Nothobranchius furzeri: one gene and its partner. The protein of the gene in region 1 purifies or fractionates together with the protein of each later gene. This does not show direct contact. Links are inferred from orthologs where the notes say so. Each region holds a gene or a part of one and is shown in the gene's direction. Other genes may lie near its edges.

What was found. Proteins that work in one complex are often made in the same cells at the same time.
Region 2: the proteins of mcm7 (region 1) and cdc6 purify together in Homo sapiens (affinity purification with western blotting; 3 studies listed by BioGRID). This does not show direct contact. The link is inferred for Nothobranchius furzeri from reciprocal best matches to the Homo sapiens genes MCM7 and CDC6.

Annotation. Positions count from the first base shown.
Region 1 is NC_091741.1:79,972,023-79,976,831, forward strand, and holds the start of mcm7 (DNA replication licensing factor MCM7), read left to right. Parts: upstream 1-1,771; 5' UTR 1,772-1,882; coding exon 1,883-1,913; intron 1,914-2,312; exon of another isoform or gene 2,313-3,105; intron 3,106-3,584; coding exon 3,585-3,664; intron 3,665-3,888; coding exon 3,889-4,053; intron 4,054-4,154; coding exon 4,155-4,279; intron 4,280-4,351; coding exon 4,352-4,532; intron 4,533-4,608; coding exon 4,609-4,746; intron 4,747-4,809. Other genes in the region: cohesin subunit SA-1, read left to right, coding at 522-623, 713-800, 999-1,049. UniProt on the Homo sapiens protein: Acts as a component of the MCM2-7 complex (MCM complex) which is the replicative helicase essential for 'once per cell cycle' DNA replication initiation and elongation in eukaryotic cells.
Region 2 is NC_091747.1:65,968,707-65,973,786, reverse strand, and holds the start of cdc6 (cell division control protein 6 homolog), read left to right. Parts: upstream 1-1,924; 5' UTR 1,925-2,075; coding exon 2,076-2,283; intron 2,284-2,350; coding exon 2,351-2,608; intron 2,609-2,678; coding exon 2,679-2,878; intron 2,879-3,695; coding exon 3,696-3,844; intron 3,845-4,282; coding exon 4,283-4,389; intron 4,390-5,080. UniProt on the Homo sapiens protein: Involved in the initiation of DNA replication. Also participates in checkpoint controls that ensure DNA replication is completed before mitosis is initiated.

The DNA of each region.
Region 1 (4,809 bases):
CATTGCTGCATCTGCTGCCTTTCAGAGTTTTGGAAACAGTTGATGAACATTTTAAATCAAATATTATGTTTGTCTGTCCACAAAATAAATCAATGTCAGCATTGAATTAGTTAAGTCGCTGACAACAGTTGAGATATAACTGAGCATTACAGATTTTTTTATAAGTATTAAATCGTCAGTTAGTCTACAGGAATAACAAAGTATAGACGGGGCACACACAGGGCGACAGTGGCACAGAAGTGCTCACCCTGTAATCGGAAGGTTGCAGGTTTGAGCCCTGCTTAGTCCATCGCTGTGTCCTTGGGCAAGACATTTAACCCACCTTGCCTGCTGGTGGTGGTCGGAGGGACCGGTGGTGCCTGTGTATGGCACTCGCCTGTGTCTGTGCCCCAGGGCAGCTTTGGCTTCACACCAGCAGCGTGTGAATGGGTGAATGACTGATTGTGTTGTAAAGTGCCTTGGGGGGGACTCTAGAAGGTGCTATATCAAATACAGACCATTTACCTTGTGATGTTCACTAGGTCACAGATGCCTAATGTGAGGCCCACCAAGCAAGGAACAGCCTCTTCCTCCCAGTCTGCACCCCCTCACGAGCAGGAGGATCTGAATTCCCACCTCACCATGTAAGACTGGTCTAGAACTAAAGGGAAGATGGTTTTTGTGAATAACGTTTTAACTCTTAAACAAGCTAATTAATCTGTTTGCCACTTAGGCTTTCTCTGATAGAGGATGACATTTCAGAAGAAGAGGAGCCTGAGATTGAAGATTATGAAAGTGACCTGGAGTCTGGATACACACTGGTAAAACAGCAATACTGATAGATCTTAGCTTTAGTAATTTAGGATTGATTTGGATAAAGGAAAACTTTGAAGATCTGAGTTCAATTGGGATTTGTGGAGTTATAATACAGTCTGAAGACTTGATTTAAAACTATGTGAATAAAATAATTGTATTCCTGGTAAGATTAAACAGTCAGTCTCTCCATTTTCCCCCTAAAGCCCTCAACACGCCACACCTCTGCCAGTTTCCTGGATGAGCTCTTTGAGTGATGTACTGGAACGCTTCCACCATTTTCAGATGCCATTTTTATGTTATCAGTGTTTGAAGTATTTGCATGAATTGAAATCTCAGCCACCTGTTCATCCCTGTGACTACATCTTTATCTTCATGTTATCTGACTTGCTGCAGTTTGCCATTAAATGATTGAATTGTTAATGTTCTGATGAAAAGCAAAAACTGATATTAAAAATGTTTAGTACAGTTATCCGAATGAAAGCTAAAGCTACCTATTTTGAACACATTTTTGCTTTGTTGATGTGTTTTTTATATAATTGTTCATAAAAAGTGAAGTATTATCGGTTCGAAGTCTGTAATAAAATGGAAAAGCGAGTTAGTGGTGACAATTCATTCCAAAATTGATCATCATTTTACTCCGTTTTTGAGACACTTTTGATGAGTGTTTCAAAGCAGCCTGTGTCTGCATGCACTCTGCTGTTAACGTGTTGAGTTGTTTGTGTGTAACATACAATAAATAACACCCATTGTGATGAGTTGTGTTGTCTTTAGAACATTTCGCGCCATTAGTGGAAAACCCCGGCGGAAGTTTTCATAACCATGTGACACGCAGCTTCCTGCGATTTTCGCGCCACCAAAACGTCCCGCCCATACTTCGTGAAAGATGCGACGTGATTTGCTGCTGGCCGAGGAGAGTGGCGCCAGTTTCTACTCTTGAGACCGGGAGAAGTTCTGGCTGCATGTGAATGAATTCAAGTCTCCGGTGCAAGAAATTTGCTAAACTCTTAAGTAAAAACCTCGTTTAGGTACGTGGGCACCTCAAGATCTCGTTTTCAAGTTATTCGCCTGAACATCAACGTGTGCTGCCATGGCTCGTAAAGATTATCTGGCAGAGAAAGGTAAATAGTTGTCTGTGTGTGTCAGTAACAGCATGGGTGGTAGCAACAGGTTGGACTGAAAGTCTTAATAAATGTTACCTATATGAAGTATGTGTCTTTCAGAGTTGAATTACATGTTCATGTCCTGTTTCAGTAGTTTACGTCACTAGCGTTTTTAAATATTGCCATTTGAGTTAGATAGAAAATTACCATTTTAAATATGTGTACGAATATGCGTCATTTAGCAGCGATGTAATGGAAGTACTAGTTAAGTATTTCACAGTGAGTTTGTTAACGTTGGGTCGTCGGTAACCAGTTTAGCGTTGTCTGCTCTTTACTACCCGGTGACCCGGATGGATCCTTAAACAAAGGAAACAGGCGCCACTGTGCAAGCACATCCGGGAACGCGCACACTATCAAGACGTGTAGAGTACATAAGTAGTCAAGGAACGAGTGCAGACAGTCGGACCTTTCAAAAACTACTTTTGCAAAGTTATACTCTATGCTGTCGACGTGTGTCGGTGTAAAATAAAATGATTTAGTTTAGGGGTAATCTATGTGGTCGGGAAGTAAAGGAAAATCCTTCACCCAACTATGTTGTACTTTTTGTCAAGTGTCCGTTAACGCACCGTCTGGGCTATATTTTGATTTTACAGGGTTGAACAGTGCTGTTAGCTTTTTCGTTACTAGCTAAAATGAATTTTAATACTGATATTTGCTTCCAGCTTATTCGTTTTCAGCATAAACGATTATAGCTTTGGTTTATGTTGATCACTCACATGGGTTTGGAAGGGCTCTGTAGCAATATGTGGTGTATTAATGAATCGTATACACGCGTAGTTCCTGAACGTAGTCGTGTTCCGAGTCTAATTCAGCGAACGCACTAACCAGCAGCAATTTCTTAGTCGTCATAAACGTCTCGTGGTAAGCATTAAGCAAACCTCCTCTCGCCGCTTAGTGATTCTGTCATCAGGACATTAGAAAAGGCAGCGCAGCTGCTGCGTTCACAACTCTAAGCTAACCTGGGCTAATGTTAAAAAATGGCTGGCCACGGTTTGAAAACAACAACCGGGACTGGTTCTAGGAGCGGAGGAATCGCGGAGGGATATCTCCAGTGACTGGGCACAAAAGCCATGTGCTGCTTTGTTTACAATAACATCCTCGAACATGGAAATAACCCCACGACGCAGCAAATTTCCTCTACGGCGGTAAAGTAAGTGGAATATTAAGTTCAGTTCGAAGGCTTGTTCCGTCGCCCGTGGCGCCTAGTTAAATATCGTTGGTAGTTGTGGCTCCTTCGAGAAGTGAGGGGGGATATTTACCAGAGGAAGGGGAAAAAAGGACCGAACTGAGCGCGCCTGTTGTGTTTACGTTCCCACCCCGGGGCCATACGCTGCGTAGTACTTGTTATTTCACTCTAAAACTAGGAGACGAGACTCACATGAGCGACATTCGCTCCATGTTGAGCCCCAGTGACAGTTTATGTTGAACTGTAGCAATAGTGACTCATCGAGATTACAGGATGCCGTGTTACTCAACAAAGGGGGGCTCGTCGTAGGACAACAAACTAGCTCCCAGTGTGCAGGCCCTCTGCTGTTGGGTTTAATACTGCTATTTTAGGAAAGGGACATATGTGAACGTGGCCTTTTTATTTAGTCTTGTAAAGTGGAGCTGTTGTGTTTTTGTTTTCAGAGAAGTGCAAAAGGTTTCTGCAGGAGTTTTACACGGAGGATGACGATGGGAAGAAGGTGTTCAAATATGGAGTGCAACTTGTGAGTATAGTGAATGCTTTTTACGGAAAGAGGTTTTGTGATGTAATTCTGTTTATCTTCCTGCTTTGACAACTAGTTTGTGTTTTGTAACTAGGTTGTTTCTTTTTTGTCTCGTCGTTCTATATCGTAGTCATTTGTTGTTGTTTTTTTGTTTTTTTTTCTCACAAAAGCACATGTGTAATTGTTTTCTGAAGCTTGACTAATTATTTGTTTTGTGTGTTCAGGTGCAGCTGGCCCACCGGGAGAAGGTGTCCCTGGTTGTTGAGCTGGAAGATGTGGCTGAGGAAGACCCAGATCTGGTTGAGAGTATCTGTGAGAATGCAAAACGCTACACAAACCTGTTTGCTGACGCCATACACGAGCTGCTGCCAGAATACAAGGAAAGAGATGTATGTAGATCTTAGTTTTGAGTACATTTTTTAAATCCGCTTCCAGTGCATTTCAGATTTTTTATCTGAAGGAATTCTAAAAAGATACATTTTGTGCTTAGATTGTGGCCAAAGATTCCCTGGACGTGTACATTGAGCACAGGCTGATGATGGAGCAAAGGGGTCGTGATCCGGCCGACACCAGAGATCCACATAACCAGTACCCACCTGAGCTCATGAGGAGATTGTGAGTAGAACCAGATTCGTAATTTTCCTTGTGTGTTGGGGCTTTTTTCACTATAGTGGCTTGTTTCTGCAGTGAGCTCTACTTCAAGTCTTCCAGCACCTCAAAACCCAAAGTGGTGCGTGATATCCGGGCTGACAGCATTGGCCATCTGGTCACAGTCCGAGGCATCGTGACCCGCGCCACCGAGGTCAAACCGATGATGGCTGTAGCTACGTACACGTGTGACCAGTGTGGTGCTGAAACCTACCAACCAGTAAGATCTGGTAAAACCACTCAAGTTTTGATGTAAGATTATTATCCTCATGATGTCCTCCTCATGCACCCACCAGATCCAGTCCCCCACCTTTATGCCTCTGGTCATGTGTCCCAGTCAAGAGTGTGTCACCAACAAATCTGGAGGACGACTCTACCTGCAGACCAGAGGGTCCAAGTTTGTGAAGTTCCAGGAGCTACGGATTCAGGAGCACGTGAGGGACCTTTCTTTTGGTGTTGTCTTTGTTGTAGAGTACTCGTTTCTTTATTTGTTTTCT
Region 2 (5,080 bases), on another chromosome or scaffold:
ACGACCCAGTTCTCGGATGCGACCTGACTGCTCACACTGTACGTCTGGTAGCAACACGTCGGCCCTAAAAATGTGCTAAAAATAGCAGTTTTTACTCAACACGTCAGACTTTTTTGTCTTCTCTTGCCTGTTGTCCTTCGGGAGTGCTGCAGGAGGACACACAGGGATTTATGGGGGTTGGATGAGGAAAACGAAATAAAGAAAGTAAATCTGTGTTTTGTGATCAGTTTAATTTGACATGAACACGACAAACACGCTTTCTTGACAATCTTTGTGAGTAAAAGAAATGTGTAGAAATAAAAACGAACAGCGTGTGTTATTAAGGAAATAGCAGGCGAGCGGCGTTGATGCAGGATTGCGCATGCACCGTGAGCGGTTCTGATACTTTTTGGGTCGCAGCTGCTCGCTGTGCCGCTTCAACAGTGCGATACCCTCACGAGGGACGAGCAAAATTTTAAACACGCCAGAAGTCCGTGCGACCTCACGACTGCTGATCGGCAGCTGGTCACGTGGTGTTAATCGCCTCTCGTAACCCCCCGTACACGACCGCTCGGCGCTAAACTCGCCCCGATGTCGTGGATTCTCGCACGACTGGAAAATCGGCTCAAAAAAGTGAAAAAGTTGCATAGTGTACACCCGGCTTAATGGGGGTTTCACATCTGGTACCGATCGGCCCGGCCTGCATTGAACATATTGTTTTCATCCCTGGGTGATCTGGTACTTGCCCCCTCCTACCAGGCGGGTTTTTGGCCCTTAACCTCTGGTGGTCTGCTCAGGGCTGGGCCAGGCCAACATGCCCACTACGACTGACTGGCCGGCTCAAATACCAACCTGCCGTTAGAGGGAGCTTCTGATTGGTGGATAGAATCAACCAACAGTGTGAATAAACCCTACTGGTGTGGGACCGGACCGACGCTACCCAGCCCGGTCCGTGCTAGCCCAGATGCGAAACGCCTAATGGAGACAGTTTTTTTCCCAACAGTAGTTTCTTCATCTCTTTCCTTTGGGCAGCTGATGCAGACGATGGGAGTGTAGCATGAATACGCAGCTCAGAGTGACCAATCGTGAATCGAATAGAACCATTATTGCTGTTGGAGCTATATTTCTGCAGCTGTCACCTCGCTAGACTGTTCCATACATACTTTATTATTATAACTGGTTAATTATTCTACAGAATGAATAAAAAGGTGTTAGGCTCATGTGCTATGGTGGTGGAATTCTGTTAGGGTTAGGGTTACACGTGTCTAGTTTCTCTGGACATTTTCCTGTTAATATTCATGAGGTAACGCTCATCCTGGCTTCACTGATGCTGCTGATTCCAATCGTGTGATCTGACAGTCAGAGCAGATCAGAGCTCTTGTTGTCAGATTAATATCATCTTGGCTGATGAAACATTTCTAGTGAGTGCAAATGATCCTGTTCAGTCTCTGTTGTGTTCCAGCCACCTGGAGACAGTCAGGGACAGGGGACACCTCCGTGTGTGTGTGTGTGTGTGTGTGTGTGTGTGTGTGTGTGTGTGTGTGTGTGTGTGTGTGTGTGTGTGTGTGTGTGTGTGTGTGTGTGTGTGTGTGTGTGTGTGTGTGTGTGTGTGTGTGTGTAAACATGAATGTACACTGTTCTGTGTTCATGTAAACACACACTGATCTGCTATGAAACCGTCTCATCCAATCACCTCTCAGACGGATGAGCTAAGCTGGACTCACCTGTTCAGGTGGGACCTTCCTTGTTCTGCTCTTCCTACCCATTTCTCGATGGCTAAAACTCAAACAAAAGTATTTCCCGCCGTTACCAAACGCGCCCTTTGCGTAACTTCCGCCCGCAGCACCGAACCAATGAGGTTGCGAAAAGTGTTGCGTTGACCAATCCAAGAGCAGCAGCGGATGACGCAGCTGGTAAAGAAGACGTTTTGGCGCTAGTTTGGACTCGGTTACCGGTAGAGAAGCCCGTCCTCGAGAGGAGCTGACCGAGCGCAGGTGAGCGTTGATCCGGGTTGGTTCGGGTTAACCTGACCGGGTTACCAACCCCTCCTTTACTCTGAGAGTCCTGCAAGGCGAGCTAACGCTAAAGCTGCTAGGATGCCTAGCACCCGCTCCCAGGCTCGAGCTCAGCCCACGCTGACGTTCCCACGACGCAAGTCCTGCCGAGCGCCTTTAAAACCCCCCAAACCTCCAGGGTCTGCGTCCCAGGACGTCCTTCCGCCTCCAAGCCCACCCAGGCCCGTGTCTCCGAGGCAGTCTCCCGCCCTGCAGCCCCGACTCCCCCTGAGCCCGCGCAAACGCACAGGTGAGTCTGCAGCGCTGGTCAGGAGTTGTCTCCATGAAGGTGTTGACTTGTGTTTATCTCTGTAAAGGTGATGAGAACGGCTGCAACCTCCACACCCTGCAGGCGTCCCCTCCCAAACAGAAAAAGACGTCTCTGTCCTCCCAGAGGAAGCTAGGTTTCAATGAGAACTCTCCAGTCGTGGTCCATCAAACATCAGACCCATCTTCTGAAAAACCACGCTGTCCAACCACCACTTCGTCCACTAGGAGACCAGAAACGCCCACCGGAAGTCCCTTGCGTGGCACTGGAGGAAAGAAGACCCCAGTCACTCAGCTGTTTGCAGAAAGTAAGATGGTTTCAGCAAGTTACGAGTTTCTTAGGAACCAAAGTGCTACAATCATTGTTTTTCTCCTCAGAGTCCAAGTTCCAGAGCGTGAAGCAGGTGCTCCACACATCCATCCCTGAACACATCTTGTCCAGAGAGGCGGAGCAGACGTCCATCCGCTCCTTCCTGCAGGAGACGGTCCTGCAGCGCCGTCCTGGAAGCCTCTATATTTCAGGAGCTCCTGGGACTGGCAAGACGGCCTGCCTGAGCTGTGTCCTGAAGGACATGAAGGTGAGCTGGACATGCTTTAGCGCTGTCTGCAGTAGGGCTACTCCATCATGGCTTTATCAGGGCGATCAGAAGAAGATCAGAACAACTCCTGGTTCCTCGTGTAACAGAGCCAGTAGGCTGAGCTTTAACCCTAACCCAATTCTGATGGCAAGAGTCTAAACATGCATGTTGTAGTGAACTTCCATAACCTGCTGCGGTACTGAGTCCTGTCCAGCGGCGCTGTGGGAGAGTGCAGCACTAGTCTGTTGCTCTGAGATGAATCAGCGTTAGAAACGTATTCCTAAACCATTTATTTCCAGGTTCCATCAGTCCATGTAGTAGATGTCCCACCCTGCAGAGGTGCACTGCAGCACACACACTACAATCAGGAGTGTGTGTGTGTGTGTGTGTGTGTGTTGCACGGGCACATTTAGCCGTTTCACCAGGAGCCTGCGGGGACAGGAGTCTCTGAGAGCCGTCTCTACGTTGTTCCCTTTCCTAATGTCCAGAAGGACGGTCCTGAGTGCAGGCTGTGACCTGCAGGTATCCAGGAATGTTCCTAGGTGGTTTCTGGGTAGCTTAGAGAAGAAAGTGGAGGAATGGTCTGAAAGGTTGTTAGAAACGGCCACAAAGCTGCTAAAATTTGGCAACGCTGCTGGGAGGTGCGCTTGATTTGCAACTCGGAGTAAACCATGAGAGAGGAGCAAATCATCGGCTCGTTTTGTTGTTCCAATGGTTCAAAACTCTGATAGTAATTGTGATTAAAATGTGATTTATTGAGCAGCCCTGTCTACACAGATGTCGTCATCTCCTCACCTAGCTGTTGTTGTCCCATCAGGCTGAGCTGTCGTCGGTTCTGACGGTTCTGGTGAACTGTATGAGTCTGCGAAGCGCCCACTCCATCTTCCCTCTGCTGGCTGACAAACTGAAAGTGCTCAGCGGCCAGAGGGGTCTGCAGAAGTTCTTCACATCGTCGGGGCCTGCTGTGTGAGTGACCTTCATGCTGCCTGGTTTTCATGGACCTGACTTGCTCGTCTAGGAATGGGCAGTGTCAGACATTCTTCATAAATGTTCATATTATTTCAAACAAAATACTGAACGACCCGCAGAGACGGTGTTCTGAAACATAAGCTTGTGTGTTATGAGGGTTAGGGTTATGAGGGGTACAAGGACTCACGTCATCCATCTATCAGCAGTAACAGCTACACGTCACAAATGTCTTCAGGAACCTTTAGTTCTAATTCGTGTAAACTCGATGGTTCATGTTGTACAAGAATCAATACACTTTATGCATTTAATCTGCTGATGAATTTATGTACAATTTCTCAAGGCAGCTCTGGGAGTTGACTTGAATGAAAAGTATAGATGTAAGTTTTGGCCCATATGGCCCAGCCCTAGGCTCATGCGTGTGTCTTCTCTTCTAAGGCTTCTGGTTTTGGATGAAATGGACCAGCTGGACAGCAAGGCTCAGGACGTCCTCTACACCCTTTTTGAGTGGCCACACCTGCCCAGTTCTCGTCTCTGTCTCATTGGTAAGAGTTCGTCCCGCACGGTGTCTCGGCTGCTCTGTAGTAATGACGGTATTATTGGTTTACGGTAGAAAGTACACAAATGCAGTCACTGGTAGGGATTCTGACTACACAGGCAACGGCTGCTGGGGTGGTGCTTTAAGACAAGTTAACATTGGGTTAGGGCTGCTCAATGAATCGAATTTTAATCACGATTACGATCTGAGTTTTGAACGATTATAAAAACAAAACAAGCTGATTATTTGCTCCTCCCACCTACGCTGCTTGAGTTGCAAATGAAGCGCTCCTCCACAGTGTTGCCAACTTAGCGACTTTGTCGCTATTTCTAGCAGCTTCAGACCCCCTTCTTGACTTTTTAAATCTAAAAGTACCTAGCGAACATCTCAGAAACATCTCTCGTAACCCTTAGCTACTTTCTGGATAACTGTCGTCGACGTTTCCTGCAGGTTAGCTAAACACTCTGCCTGCGCTCCGGACCGTTCTTCAGGACATTAGGAAAGGGAATGATGTAGTGATGTGTCGGTCACTAAAGAAACGGCTCTCAGAGCCGGCTCCCTGTTGGAGTAACCAGAGTGAGTGACACACACACCGTACCTGCAGGCTCCTGAGCCGCTAAAAATGGCTAAATGTGCGCGTGCGGCGCGCTAAACACACATGCAGCTTGCCCCTGATTGCTGTGAGACCGGGTTGGGGG